Coturnix japonica: one gene and its partner. The protein of the gene in region 1 purifies or fractionates together with the protein of each later gene. This does not show direct contact. Links are inferred from orthologs where the notes say so. Each region holds a gene or a part of one and is shown on either strand. Other genes may lie near its edges.

Evidence for each region. Proteins that work in one complex are often made in the same cells at the same time.
Region 2: the proteins of USP22 (region 1) and SUPT7L purify together in Homo sapiens (affinity purification with mass spectrometry; 3 studies listed by BioGRID and IntAct, with this or other methods). This does not show direct contact. The link is inferred for Coturnix japonica from reciprocal best matches to the Homo sapiens genes USP22 and SUPT7L.

What each region holds. Positions count from the first base shown.
Region 1 is NC_029529.1:4,591,652-4,599,594, reverse strand, and holds the start of USP22 (ubiquitin carboxyl-terminal hydrolase 22), read right to left. Parts: upstream 4,765-7,943; 5' UTR 4,684-4,764; coding exon 4,558-4,683; intron 1-4,557. UniProt on the Homo sapiens protein: Deubiquitinase that plays a role in several cellular processes including transcriptional regulation, cell cycle progression or innate immunity.
Region 2 is NC_029518.1:24,843,670-24,851,435, reverse strand, and holds the start of SUPT7L (STAGA complex 65 subunit gamma), read right to left. Parts: upstream 5,028-7,766; 5' UTR 4,694-5,027; coding exon 4,281-4,693; intron 1-4,280. Other genes in the region: SLC4A1AP (kanadaptin), read left to right, coding at 5,290-5,805, 6,474-6,660, 7,065-7,187.

The DNA.
Region 1 (7,943 bases):
AGGACCTGTATTGCAGTCTTCTCCAATGACAGAGACATAAATGCAGCGCAACAGAAACCCATGTGTGCAAACCTAATGCCTGGGTATCTCTCATACCACAGACTGCGCCTGCACATCTAGAGGAAAGAGAGCATTACCTTCAGCAGGTTTAAGGACCTCCTCACTCCTCAGAGGCTAAGAACTACAGAAGGTTGCTCATTTATGAGAACTGCTGAACAGTGAAGGCTGCAGCTGACTCTGACACTCCTTATGGGCCTCCAGGGAGAAGGCAGTCCCAATGAAACATGGCAAGAACATCCCTCCTGAGTGAACCATAGGTCGCATGGCGGCCAAAGTGAAGTAGGGAACTGAAAAAGAGCTTCTTGAATCCTGGACTCCTCCATAGGATTTGTAATCCAGACGTTTGCTAGAAGTATTAAAGAAAAATTAATAAGGACGTTTGAGCTTAAGAAACTAAAATACTGAGTTTGAGAAGGCTACACAGCTTAGTAAGGTTCTTACCCATCCCTTAGCATATTGCCTAAACAACACTTCCCTGCTCCTGGACAGGTATGCAAGGCAAGGCTGAACGCAAGCACACCTCACCTGGCACCCAGCAGGAAGTCCCAAAACTCTCCAAACAAAAGGTCACCTTAGCAAGAGCTTAATGCATCAATGTAGACTGAAGCACAATACTTGCTGTCATAAGTATGATGCGGCATTTATTTGTTGAGATGTTTTTTCCCACCTCAAACATTAAAAAAAATGAACCAAAGTAATTCCAGTTACTGGTACCTATGAATTAACTCTCAATGAATTATTAGAAGGATGCATGTGAAGTCAGAAGTGCATACATGTGAATGAGGAAGAGATCTATAGGCAGCTCATCACCTACATACAAAAATGTTTCTTCATACCTAAGAGTGTCCATGTGAACAAAGAATAATGGAAGAACAACAGAATTTCTGACATGAGAGGGAAGAACCTAGAATACATCCACCACCAAGGAGAGCAGAACAGACAACCCCTGACAGCCCATTACTCTTGGACCTGCTGTCAGAAGCACAGAACAAACATTCTGACATTTCAGATAGGACCTTGTCCCTATCACGGCTGCACTCATGACCACCAGATTACTCACATCATTGAGCACCTTCTCTGAGCAGTGAGAGTAAGAACCACTCAGAACCAGGCAGAGCTTTCCTTTGAGGTTTGTGGTCCTGCAGGACAGAACTGAACTGTAAATGCATCAGCCCTTCAAGTGCTGAAGCCATTACTTACTAACTCCTAGACAACGATGCATCTACACGTCCAAACCCTCCCTGATGGAGAACTGAAACTGTTCAGCACCACAAAACCGACTGTTCTCATCTGTAATTGTAAAGCAATAAGCAAAGCTTTTCAAGTGTGACTCAAGGAAAAAGCTGATCCAACAGGGCTGGCGGTGTGTCTTCTTATCATCTTCGGTCTGGTCCATAATTCCTGCATGGAAAGTTGTGGTTTCATATATATCTAAGTAATGCTATGAGAGGTCCTTAAGCATGAGGGATTTTCCTCCATCAAAACACTCAAGGTAAAGCCCATGACCTACAGAAGGTGACGGCAAAGCTTGTATTTATGTATTCATTCAGTACATTATATCACAAATAAAACAAATCAAGTCACTGGTCAAAGTCCCAAAGCCAAGATGACCAACCCCAATTTTACGCCACTCTACCTAAGAGCCAAAAGCTGGTTCTAGCTCCTGATCACCATTACAAGTTCAACACCAGCCCTTCAGACTTCTTCCTATTCCACTCCTCCAACAACACAATGCTCAGGTTTTGACTTCCTTTAGGCTTTACCAGCAGCAGCACATTCGCACTACAGCAAAGCTCTGCCTATAACAGCACGTACAGGCACAAAGCTACAGCTCAGCCCCTGGATGGAGGCAGAACAACACACCAGTAGGAGAGCTGAAATCCCATGGAAGCAAACACACTCCTGAACCCTTCACCAGAATTCCAGCATTAACAAATGTACGCTCATAATTACCTCTTCCTTCTGATTGGGAATTCAAATACAGGTACAGGAAATGGCTTTCCGACTACAAACAGCGCTTTGCAGCTATTTTATTAAGAACTCTGGATGTGAAGAACGCTGTAATGAAGGCTACAGCTCATCAAGGCTTATTCTCAGCAAAGGTACGCATTAAAAACAAATAGCAAGCAGCAAGCAGTGTCAAAATGGTCTTCTAAAGCATAATGCAGTAAAGCAGTATAAGTAAAAGAGGAGCAGCAGACACTTTCTGCCCCCTGCAGTTCCTACTGCTATCTGGATTTATAAGGCAGCCCTAGGAGGGATAGAACATTAGCAACCCAGAGACCCAACAATTTAACATCTGGCTCCCAAGCACCAACAGCCCAAACGTTTGGGTTTGCTTGTTGTTTTACAGCTAGGTTCATCTGAATAACAGTTAAATTCATCAATGCTTCCATTAATGATCAGCTACATCTTGTGAATGTTTGCTGTGCCAAATGAAGGATGCAACCGCCCCTGGTTTTTGGAACAGAAATTGCGAATCACCTTCTATCAAACCTTTATTTGACCTCATTGCTTTGATTAGAGCTAAGAATGAGAATTCTCACCATGAATTAACTGGTCCATCACCACGTCAGGGCTGTGCTCCTTATATATACATACACACAGTATATATATATAAAAGACGATATATCATCTTATATAAAGGACAACGGGTTGCCTTTTAGTTATCCCACTATGTATCCGAAAACAGAAAACGCTGCTATGAAGTTTGAGATGTAAATATAGGATACACATGGACAGCAAGGAAAAATCCTGCAGGGGAAGGATTCACATCCATGTACAGCAGGTAAGCACCATAACTGTTCCCATACTTCCTTCTACCTTTATGAATATAAGAATTCACCACCAAATGCAGGTACCCAAAACACTTCCCTGTATGTGATGATTTACTCCCACACATCTCAGGTTGGTAGAACTCAGAATCCAACTATTTCCAGACTGGAAATCTGCTTAAAAACAAAAGGCATTTTTAGCACGTATCTGGTAAAAGGATGTTTTCGATGAGATGATTTCGCAACCACCCCGTTCTGCCTTATGAGCCTGCCTGTCCTAAGAGTGTCACGGGTTACAAAGAGGTAAAGGTGGGAGCACAGATTGATTACAGCAAGCAATTACTATGGCTTAAAAAACAGCTGGCAATAAATACATGCATCACTAGTGATAGATTCCAGAAGAAACCCAACCAACAGCAGCCCATGGCTGTAAGGGATGCTCCTCATTCAAAATAATGGAAGCTGAAGTGTTCATCTTACTGATGAATTCTGGGTTTCCTTCTGCCATGTAACACAAGCAATATTCCTCTGAGACACCTTCTTACCCCACTCCTTCAGCAGCACACGTATGTTAAGCCCCACGTATGCTGTACCATAAACCCATCCGTATGTTGACATACCAAAGGTTAAATGAAACCCAATTCTGCCTAACATACTCCATAACACTGTCTTGCAGTGCGTTAGGGATGCAGAACACAACTTTGGCTGTACATTGCAGCGCTCTCAAGCAAGCCACTAACTTGATCATTTTCCTTCGGATTCCATTTTTTCCTCCCTTGAAATAAAACAGGGGACTCCCAGAGAACACAAAGCTCACACAGAGGGGCCGCTCAGCCCTGCAGCACACACCTACAGCTCCAGAGTTACCCACAGCCCAACAGGCCGTCCCAGCCCGCAGTTCAGCCGCACTGTTTGTTGCAGTCCCCTCCTCGGCCATTACCATCACCACCGATAGAAATCTGCAAAGTCACTTATTAGTACAAACTAGTTGATGGCACGGAGGGCAGCGGGAGGCTCTGCTCGGGCTCCTCAGCATTGTGTGGATTGCCGCACACAGGTGGGACGGTCACGTCTGTCCTCATCGCAGCGGATTCCGGTGCTGCGCTGCGCACTGCGTGCCCCGAACGCTCGCACCCCCCAGCTCGCTCCTTCTATCCCCCTCCGTGCCCTCCGCACTCAGTTCCTGCTCTCCCCCCAACCCCCCACTCTACCCGGAATCCCATTTTGCAACCGGATGACCACCGATCTTCAAAGGAAAAAAAATATATATACACACACACATATATATATATATATAAATAAACAGCAGAAATGCCCTCGTCAACTCCCCCCAGCCTCTCCCAGCCATTGTGCCTCCTTCCCCCACCCCTCCCTGCGGCACAAAGCCCCGCCGCGGGTCGGGCCGTGCCCATCGCCCCGGGGCTCTCCCCTCCCCCTCCTCCCCTCCCCGCAGCCTCCGCCGCGTTCCGGGAACAGGGCTCCGCACCTCCGGGGGGCGGCGGCGCTGCGGAACGGCCCCGGGGACGGAGAAAGGGGGCAAGGCGGAGCGGGGCAGGTGGCGGCTCTGAGCCCCAGCGCCGTGCCCGCACCGCGGGGGCACCCGCAGCCAACATCCCACCTCCCACCCACCCCCACCACCACCACGACCGCGTGCCGGGAACCGCGGGCCCGACGAGAGGAGGGGAAGGGAGAGCAGGGGGGTGGATGGGGCCGCCCCCGGTACCTTGCGCTTCCTGGTCTCGGCCGAACCGCTCCACACGAAGCACTGGTAAATGGCCCTCAGGTTCTGCTTCCAGTTCTCCACCTTGAAGCCGGTCACATGGCAGCACCCGGCCGCCGGCGGACTCATGTCAGACCCCCCCACATCAATCCTCCCGCCGACGGGCCGGGCCGGCGGGCAGCGAGCCGGCCCCTTCCCCCCCTCGGCGGCGGCGGCGGCGGCGGCGGCCGCGCGGGCACGGGCGCGGGCACGACACGGGGCGGCCGCGCGCCCCCCACAGCCACCACAGCCACCCCACCCTCCCTCCCCGCCGCCACCGCCCTCAGGGGCTGCGGCCCCTCCTCACGCCGCCTCCCGCCGCCTCCGTCCCCGCGGGCAGCCGGGGGGCGGCGGGCACATAGAGCCCCCGGCTCCGAACAAAGCGCGGCGCTGGAGGCGGCGGGCGGCGCGCTCCCCTCCCTCTCTCTTTCCCTGCCTCGCACACAAAGATGGGGCTCGCTCTGAGGCGAAGGAGGAGGAGGAGGAGGCGGCTGAGAGAGCGGCCGCTGCCGCCCCCGGAGTGGCCGACGCTCCCTTCTACCTTCATAGAAGGCGGAAGGGAAAGAAGAGCGGGGGGGGGGGGTGGGCCTGGAAGCGGCAGCGGCGGCTCCGGTGCGAGCGGAGCGTGTGTGTGTGTGGGGAAGGGCGAGTCTCCGCCCGCCGCCGCTCCCTCTCCGCAGCCGGCCGGCCCCGCCTCGGTCTCCTCGTCTCTTTAAACCTCCCCCCCCCGCCTCCTTCGCCGTCTCCTTCCTCCTCCTCCGCTCTCCCCGCACTCCCCCCCTCCGCCCGCGCTGTGCGCTGCTCCGAGCCGCTCACTCAGCCCGGCCCGGAGTGGGACAGACCAACGGGGAAGGGGCGGTAGGTGCACCCCCCCCACTGCCCCGCCACCCGCGAGGAGGGAGACGGAGAGGGAGGAAAGAAGCGCTGCCATTGGTTCGCTCGCCTGTCACTCTGCTGCCGAAGCGCCCGTCTTTGGCGTCTCATTGGTTGATTTTCTTTTCTCCCCTCCCCCCTTCTCCCTCCACCCTTCCTCCCCAGTATTTCCCCCTGCCGGAAAGGGGCGGGAACGACTTATCGGATTGACGGGGCATCCGGCCAATAGAGAGAAAGGGCGGCACGTTCGCTAAGAATGCCTCGCAACAATTGGCCATCCCGGCCGTCAATCTCACTCCAAGCTGTGAGCGGATTGGCTGCGGTGGGCTGAGGGGCGGTTCCACCCAGCGGCCTAGGCTATGGGGGCAGCGGTGGTGTCACATCCGCTGATCGCGGCCGCTTCGCTCTTACCTCAGTGATTTCCTGAGGGGCGGCGGGGTGGCCGGGTCGCAGCCGGGGCAGAGCCGCCCCCCCGGCCTGGTAGAGGCCCGACACGGGAACCTCAGCCCCGGCTGAGGGTTGTGAGGCCGCAGCGGCCTGCACTGAGATGAGGCGGCTCGAGGTGGGCAGCGCTGTGGTGCAGCAGGCCGCGCTGTGTTGTGCTCCCATTGGGAGCACTGAGAAGGAACGAAAACACCCTTAAAAAAGAACCCCAGCACCAGAAAGAGCCTTAATGTGGCGTTCCCTATCAATAGCCCTACAAGGCAGTGAGAATATAGTGCTAAATGCTCGAATCCGTGCTCGGCTCTGGTGTGCTCCACATGCTGTGGGGTTGCATAAGAGTGGAGTGAGGCAAGAGGAGGAGATGGGAACGGAGCAGCTTCTTACACAACCCTGGCAGCAATGCAGTGTTGGTACACACTCATTGACACCCTCTTACAGCAGGAATACCAGGCAGGTTTGTATGAGGTCCTCCCTGCTATCCCACCCTATTGCTTCAATGTACAGAACTCGATAACAAAGGTAGAACAGCCTAGCTGGTAATGTGAGGCTTAGGCTCAGTGACAAGGGAAAGGGGGGATGCAGGACTGGGGGGAAGAGCTGAGCTGATGCCCTCAGACTAAAGCTGCAGCAGAGCACCAGCATTGCTGTGTACTGAGACCTGTAACAGAGCTACGTGCTGTGAGGCAAACCAAGGAACAGCAGCACAGCTTTACTATTTGGTAACTATTTGCTGTCTATCCACAGCATGTTCTGCTGGCAGTAAGAGGAAGGTGAGGAAGAGCACAAACACAACAAGTCACCGTGTCAAAAGAAAGAGGTACAGCCACCCATCCCCTGCCTTGTGAGAGCCACTCAAACATCCCACAGCACAGAGGGATGTTAATCTTAAGGCAAGACGTATCTAAATGAATGGGATGGGTAATTGATGCCCTAATAGTATGTAGTATTTATTCTAATGAACCTGAGTGTTTTCCAATCAAAGAAAACCCCCAATATTACTACAGTCTAAATCCAAGTAGAGGGTTATTCTTTATTCTGCAACAACTCCATCTCGGGCTTTTCTCCATGGCTACCACATCAAAACAGGAGATAAAGATAAAAGAGAGAGATTCTGCCTGTGAAATTTAAGTCCATCTCTCTGAAGAAACAGGATATCAAAAAGACAATACAAGTGTTCAAATCCCTGCAGACACTGAAATTCTCACTGAGGTTTCCTTGCAGCTCTTTCTTGCAGAGTCATCATGTTTACTCCACGTAAGGTGCAGCAGTGTTTGTCTTATTCAGAAATGAAAGGAATCACGTCTCTATAAAGCATAATTGTTTCATTTTAAGAAGGGAGAACACCTGCAATTTGTTCTCCTCCCAAATAAATACTTCCTTTGGAACATACTATTTTTTCTCTCTGGCCAGTTCAGGAACAATTACAACATTCAAGCATTCCTGCTTCCTGAGGTTCCATGCACCCCCCATACAGTAAAGACAGCACAGCGACAAAGCACAGCAGTTCGAAGATAGGAACAGAAAACAGTTACACCATTCCATCATGTACTAATTTGCTAAATCAGGGCTTGCTTGCTACACACACACACACAACCGTTTATAAGTTTGCTGTAGTTTAATTTACTCTGGCTTGGGAACATCTCTAGAATGAAACCTTTTGGTGCAGCAGATGACTTGGGAAAGGATTTGCCTCTGGGGGCAGAAAACTGTTTCAATCCCTCCTGCATCTCTTGGAGGAATTCTGATATTAAAGCGCTGTTGCTGATGCTAATTAGAGCTTACCCCCAAATGACAATGGAATATAAATGTTGATAGTAGCTAAAACATACTGCAAACTCTTCCTCCAGAGAGTCATCTGTGTTACATGCTAACTCAGCTGGGAAGATGCAGAGTTCCTCCACATGAGGAACAAAAGCGACTGAATCCTCAGTCCTTGTCATCCCAAGGTGGCACTTCCAGCATTAATCCATCACTAACCTCACAACAGAACAGATTTATATGGTCCCAGCTACACCACCTTCTCTATAACAAAG
Region 2 (7,766 bases), on another chromosome or scaffold:
CACAGTCATCCCCCCAAGGGCTCCACAGTCCATTCACCCAAGCTTCTCTCCTGTAAAGATTTTCTTCTGAAAGCAAGGGAGAGCTTATGGTCCATTTGCTGTGCCACCTCAGGGGAAAGAAAGTGCTTGGCTGAGTCAGTACAAAGATCAACAGCTGAGGCTTACTCACCTGAGGTAATGCACTGAGGTGCTCTTCCCCCACACAGGAGAGCATAAGCTACTGGCAGATGGAGGGAGGGATTGTTTTCTTACGAACACATTCGTTTTATGAAACATTTAAGCGTAGAGTTGAATTTCTACCAAATTAGGTGCATCAAGGTCGTTTCACTGCCATCTTTCCCAATACAATAAAATAAAGGAGAACATCAGAAAAAAAAAAGAGATTATAATGATCGGGGACTGTATCACAGAACAAAAAACACCAGCTCGAAATGAAAAATAAGCTTCCTTTTGAGAAAGGGCCTCTTTTCACCTCATCCTGAATAAGCCTCTTTTCAAATAGCTCTGCTATGCCTGCAGGAGGATGCGCAGGTATACACAGAAACTGTTCAGTAGATAATGGCAACAGGCAACAGCTAACATTTGGAAAATAAATTAGGTCCCAGTGGGACAACACAGAACACCAGAAAGTTTAGAAGGTAGAAATGAAATGCTTTATCCAACAGGCTAAGCATGTTCTGCCTGCTCTGATTTCTACTGCTCCAAATCCTCCCTCAGTGCTAACTTAGCTATCCCACCAACACGCACTTCCCTTCTTCTGTACAAACATTTAACTATTAGACCTTTTGCCATGAGCTGTCTTCCCATTGCGAGCTCCCAGTACAGTTCTCAGTTCAATACAAAGCACAAACACGATGTGGTCAGGAACACAAATGAGAGAATAATAGAGAAATCCATTAAGAAAACAACCATGTACATACACACCAAAAAAAAAAAATGAGAAAGTTAGGTTTCTTCCTACAGTGGATCCATATTAATAGTGGAAAGCTGAACACAGAGGAAGGAAGAGCTATCAGCCATATTATGGTAAGAATCTCCTGTTGAAATGGCAGTTGTATGTTACAGTTCCTTACTTATTCCTCATCAACTATGCTCTAAATTTACCTTCTGTTTTTATACCAGCCAAAATCAAATGTTAATCTCCTATTGTGTATTCCAAGAACTGTAACGTCAACGGTTTCAAATCACTGCGACCAGATGGCAACACATCCAGGAATACTAGAGGAATTCAGGGATGAAACATCTGAATAGCTGTGGTGAATCACCTCTTGCTTTAAAGTGCCACAGCCCATGAGAACCAGTAGGTAGAAAGTGTGAAAACACTCTTTCAATATATTTGGGGGGGAGGAAAAATGAAAAACTACAGGCTGGTAATTCTGTACTATTCTGGTACATCAGGGAAATTCACAGCAATGATAAGAACAGAGTTAGAGGACAGATGAGTAAATAAGATGCGTTCAGAAAGACTTCAGACAGCTCCTGTAAGTGGAAAACCTGCTTCACAAGGCTGCCACAGCCCTCCAAAGCCACTGACAAGCAAGTATATAAGAGATGTACATTGGAAAGCTAAGGACATTCCTCAGGGATCTGTGCCAGAGTCAAAGATTTTTTTGCACATACTTATCCACAGCCTGAAAAAAAAGCAGAAAAGGAACAGAGTCCTAATTAAATCTGCTGCTGGCACAGATTTCTGAAGGAGGTTGAAAAAAATCAGAACAACTGCAAAATAGCAGTAAATCAGGTTCTGCCTCCTCCACGCCACAAAAGGGATGTGGAAACGGGGATTACAGGTATGGTGTGGGGCAGAAGGCACTACAAAAAAAGAGAAGAAAAAAAAGCCAACCGAGGGGTTGATTTTGTTGATCAACAAAATAAAAGACAAGGCTGCGAGGTCTAAGGACAAAAATGAATAATGAGGAAACAGAAGAGAACATAGCTATATTGAAGAAACTTGTGGTCTAATTCAGGCTGGCCACTCTTCTTCCTATGAACAAACATACCTACACACTGCTTCCGAGACCTAAGTTATCAGGAAAGAAAATGGAACTAAAACATGCATTTAGTCTAACAACGTAACTCTGACAATGACACTTAAAAGGTATTGTAAAACTAAGCAATATCGTGTTTTATCAAGAAGAACAGTCCTCCCTCAATTGTTTTACCCACTAAAAACAAGCACTAACAAATCTTTTAACGTTATTCTTAATCCTGTAAGAATAGATGCTGTTCTTCATGTACGTGCATTAAAACAGCAAACACGCAACAGAAACCAAAAGCTTGCCTCCCAGAAAAGCAGAAACGTGTTTGGTTTAGCAGGCACACGGTTAAATTAGACTCTATACCACGACCCATAACAAATCAGTCGGCCACAATGCATTTCATGTCAAAACCGCCTATCTACACTTTGCAATCTAGTCCTTAAACTCCCCCATGTGGCTGACTGCTAAATAACATTTGTTTACCAGCACCATGGAGAGACCCAAGGGACAGCAAAAGTACAAAGCGGCCCCAAAATCACGGTTAGGGCCACTGAAAATTTAAAGTTAAAGCTGAAGGCACCAGGGAGGTCAGTACAGAAGACTGCAAGATACACAAGGCTGCTTCAGCTCTACAAACCGTAATACCATAAAGAGCAGGAGGCACAGGGCTCTAATTCATACTCACGGAATATCCCTTCACCCCTTCAGGCAAATCACTTTATTCCATCCCAGAAGGATGAAGGCGATGATTTAGGCTTACCTTCTGTTTCTGTACCAGCCAAAATCAAATGTTAATCCCCTATTGCGTATTCCAAGAACCGTAACATCAACAGTTGCAAATCACCAGGACCAGATGGCAACCCACCCAGGAATACTAAAAGAATTCAAGTTTGAAATATCTGAATTGTTATCCCAGCTGAAACCAGCGCAGCATGTAACTCTAAAAACAGCACTGAAGCCTGGCTCTGCTATCCAGACAGACTATGTTACCGACAGGAATGTCTTTCAGTTAAAATCACTGAATGCTACAAAGGCCATTAAAGATCCGATGCATTTAACCAATGATATTTTATGGATGTAAACTTTCCCCATCTGAAAAAAAATAAAAGGTATTGTTTTCTCCTATATCAAGTTTATTGGATCAGTCCTTAAGAACTGTGGGGATAAATCTCTGAATTTAAATGCACAGTCTAAGAGGAACCGTGAGATCCTGCAGGAAATAGAGCATCTCCTTATAAATAACACCAGGGTTAAAACATACGATGCCCCATTCAAGTGTTAAATTGGACATGAATGTGTGAATAATACGTATTTAAACATTTAATTGTAAATCTTTGTTGTGATGTTTACAGCCTAAGCTAGAAAGATGTTTGTCATTTTTACAGTGCCTCAGAAATGATTTCTATATCCATAGATGGGAAGAGCTTTGAGTAGTGTACATCAGAGGGTTGACAAGGAGGAGGTGACATTACTGTGTAAACAAAGATTGACTGCAAAGGAGCAATGCAACCTTCCTTTCTATTTCCTCAAGCCCATGGCTGGTGGAGCCAGCATTGGAGAGACGGGAACTCCCTTCACCAGCACTCACTGCCATATGTGACCAGACCACAAACACTGACAGTAGGATGAGATGGCAGCACCGTGAATCTTTGGGCACAGAGATCTTACAAGCAGTAATTAGCAAAGCATAATCTCAGAACCTAAAGATAATGGGCCAACAGCCAGTTGTGTATCTTCTGAATGGTGAGAACACAGACAGTCTAGCTGTAAGTGACCTAAATACAAAAGACTTTGCAGTCAATAACTAACTTTCTCAAAAGAACACTGAAGATGGCAAAACTGTTCACAAACATTAAGCTGAGTGCAGAAATCAGCACTATACATCTGCATTTTATGGATAGAAAGCAAAGACACATTTGTTTTAAACAACTTGTATGTTGTGTGCATCTCAACCTTTCTGTTCCTAGGCCTGCTTTATTCTTTACACACAATTCATCAGCCTTAGTGAACGGACAAAGCAACACATATATTTAAAAACACTCAGCTTTCCTGCAGCCAGGATTCATAGGATCATAAAGCTGGAAAGTCCACTAAGGTCATCTAGTCTAACCACCAACCCACCATCACCATGCCCACTAGTCATATCTTTCAGTGCCACATCCACACCTTCAACACCTTCAAGGATGGTGATGGCTCTACCACCTCCCTGGGCAGCCTTGTTCCAGCACCTCACTGCTCCTTCCGAGAAGAAATTTTTCCTAATACCCAACTTGAAAAGAAACAAGGAAATACCACACATACCTGTAGAAATCGCTCTCTGGGTCACTGTGCCTCAACTGGAATGGCATTTTGGGGGGCTTGCTGTCCAGAGGAAGCAGGTCATCAGGAAGAGGTGGGGAGGCCGGACGAGAGGGCAGAGGTTCGTTGTCTTCTGTCTTGATGCCCTCCGCTTGCTGCTGATTTTGTGCCTGGGCCATGGCGATGAGGCTGCGCAGCCGCCGGTTGTGCTGGATGAGCTGGATGGTGTGGATGGTGAGGCTGCAGGGCTCGGAGGGGACGTCCAGCATGGTGGTGGGCCGTGGTTTGTTGGCTGACGGCTGGTGCAGAGGAGGGTCCTGAACCTCCACCGTGCGGAACTCACGCTGGAGGAGGTCGAAAGAGCTGCGGTTGGCCTGGTTGGATGGCACCGGGATCTCACCCCAGTAACGCAGCATTTTAACACAGTATTGTCCTCAGAGTGCAGGGAAGGCACCCAGACACAGCAGGACGAGCTGCGGGGAGAAGCTCTTGGCTTTGGGCAGCAACAAACTGGTGCTGGCCTCGGAAACGAGCAAATAACTGATGTCAAGAAAACCCTTCCAAAGTCACCGTGAGAAACGCAGCTTTCAAGACAGCACAGCTGCCTCCCCTAAGGAGGGGGAACAAGAAAGCAAAGCAGCAGCGAGGGGGGCACGACTTCTAAGCAGCGCAGCGCAGCCCCAGTCCCGCCCTGGTGCCAGGGAACCCGGCGGAGAACAAGGCCGCACGTTCGGCCCCACCTCGATCACGACCCCGCCGTACCGCACGGCCCCGGTCCGTCGCCAAACGCGGCTCCCGCCGCACTTCCGCAAGGAGTGCGGAGCTCCCGCTGCAGCCTCCGCCCTTCTCCGCTCCTCCCGCCGCCCCCTGCCGCTCTCACCCCACTCTCTGCCCACAGCCGTGGTCGAAGCAACGGTGCGAACCGCAGCGCTGAGCCCCTTCCACCATCCGGAACCACAGCCCCGACGGCGCTCGTTCCCGGAGGACCCAATTTAGGATCGGACGCGACAAGATGGCGGAGGCCATGGAAACGGACAGCCGGCCTGCCGAGTTCAAGCGGCCGAGCGTCCCGCTGCCCGCTCCGCACAGCAGCGAGCCCAGCCCCGCACCCAGCCCCAGCCCCGCGCCGCCCCGTCCGGCCGCCTCCGCGCCGACGCCGCGCTACGAGGAGCCGCCGTGGGGCAGCCGGCCGCCCGCTGACGCCGGTTACGGGCTGGAGGTGCTGAAGGGCGGCGTGCTGCTGGGCTCGGTGCGGCTGGATGGCGGCAGCTGGTTCCTCGTGGGCCGCCTGCCCGGCTGCGCGCTGGCCCTGGAGCACCCGTCGGTGTCGCGGCACCACGCCGTGCTGCAGTACCGCGGCCGAGCCGCCGACGGGCCCGACGCCGATGCCGGCTTCTACGTGTACGACCTGGGCAGCACGCACGGCACCTTCCTCAACAAGGCGCGGGTGCCGCCTCGCACCTACTGCCGCGTACGGGTGGGCCACGGGCTGCGCTTCGGAGGCAGCTCCCGCCTCTTCCTTCTGCAGGTGGGTCGGGAGAAGGGTCAGACACTGCACAGCGGCTTCCCCGGGCCGCACGGGGAAATTCGGGCGGCTCTGCCCAATCTCAAGGGCTTGGAGCTTGTGGGAGATGCTTCTGAGACGTGGGGTGCTTTGGCTGCACGTGCATCTCTGAGCGGGCTGCCCCATCCATAGTGGTGTCAAGGCTGGGTTGGATAGGGCCCTGTGCAGCATGTGATGATGGAAGCAGCCCTGTCCATGGTATGGGGTTGGAAATGAGAGGACTTTGAGATCCCTTCCATCCCAAACCATTCTGTGATTCCTTGTGCCAAAAGAGAGCTTGTATTGGTAGGAGTCTAGAAACACTCAGACCGTTTAACTCAGAGGGTGTAGCTGCATGTTCCTCAAGTGCTTCTGTGTGGCACTGGTGGATATCCTTGCTGTCTGCCTTTAAATACAGCTGTGCTTGAGGTGCCTCAACTAAACAGTAATGCTTATCTCTTTTTGCCCCCTTCTTTGGCCACTGAAATTGATATATCCGAGCATGCAGGCTATAATAGTCCAGTAATTCAGCTTTTACATGAGCACTATGATCTGTTTATCTTTCTGTCTGTAATTTGCATGTCCACTGAAAAGACAAGGTTGTTTTTTTTTTTCATTCCGAAACACTCATAGAGTTGCTCTTTGTGACATAGGGACCTGAAGAGGACCAGGAGTCTGAGTCGGAGCTGACTGTGACACAGTTGAAGGCACTGCGGAAGCAGCAGCAAGCAAAGCTGGAAAAGACCATGCTGGGAGACGACTCTGATGAGGAAGATGAAAAGGAGGAGCAAGGAAATGAAGGCAGTCAGAACGTTGATATGAGCTGCTCATGGGGAATGGGTGAGTACTGACACAGAGATGAGCTGATACAACTTGGGAGCTTTTTATGTGAGTTTTCAGTGAGCTCAGGCATTGAAATTCCAGTTGGATTTCCAAGTGTCCAAAGCCAGTGAAAGTTTTTGACTACAGATCAGCCTATTTCTTTATAAAAATAGGAATTCTGTGAGAAGGCAAAACAGAGAGAGAACAACAATAGAGGGTTTTTTTCCTAAAACTGGGGAAAAGGGGGCTTGTCTAAACTTCAAAAGCAACATGGAACTGTGTATAGTTCATGCTATAACAGAAGCTATTAAAGGTTATAATCTTAGGATGATACAGCTGATGCTCCTTTCAAAATGACTGTATTTGTTTCCTGGTGTTCTCATTCTAACTTTTCACCACTTTGTTTGTACTTGCTCTTCCAGGGGAGGATGCTGAGGAGGATGAGGTTGAAGAAAACCCTATTGCTATTGACTTTCAGGATGTACAAGATGCCTTCTATATGAAAGATCCCAGGAAGGCTCTGCAGGGCTTTTTTGACAGAGAAGGTACTTCTTTCTTGTAGATTATTTTTCTTTAGTAGAGTTTGGTGTTTCCTATTTTTCTCTGGGAATTAAGGTGCGAAAGCAAAAACTTTATAGGTGGGGCTTTTTGTTTTGTCAGGGTTTTGGTGGTTATTTAATTTCTAACTTGTAATCTGGAGGCTGCAGAGAGCACCTTGTGTGGCTCTGGAGTGGCACTCAAACCACATCCATCTTTTGAAGCTATTGAAAAGTCCTAAACCATCCAATTGCAGATAGCGCTATTCAGAAGATAGAACTGGAAAGTATTGGAAAGTATTGAAAGACAATGAATTGACGTAAGCTTCCATTGGTAGCTAGCAAAACTTACAGAAGACTTAAGTGTTTTTTAAATGTGAAAAATTAATCTTTGAGATAGTATTTGTGAATCCAAATTGCAAACTGTCACTTCCTCAGTATTATTTACTTTTATATCTACAGGTGCAAGATTGCTTTTTCTTTGAAATATGTTTTACCAAACAAGTCACTTAAAGGTCCTTGATCTGAAAAAAAACCTTGATTGTGGAAAATGTCCAAATGAGCTTATTATCAATTGAAGATCACATC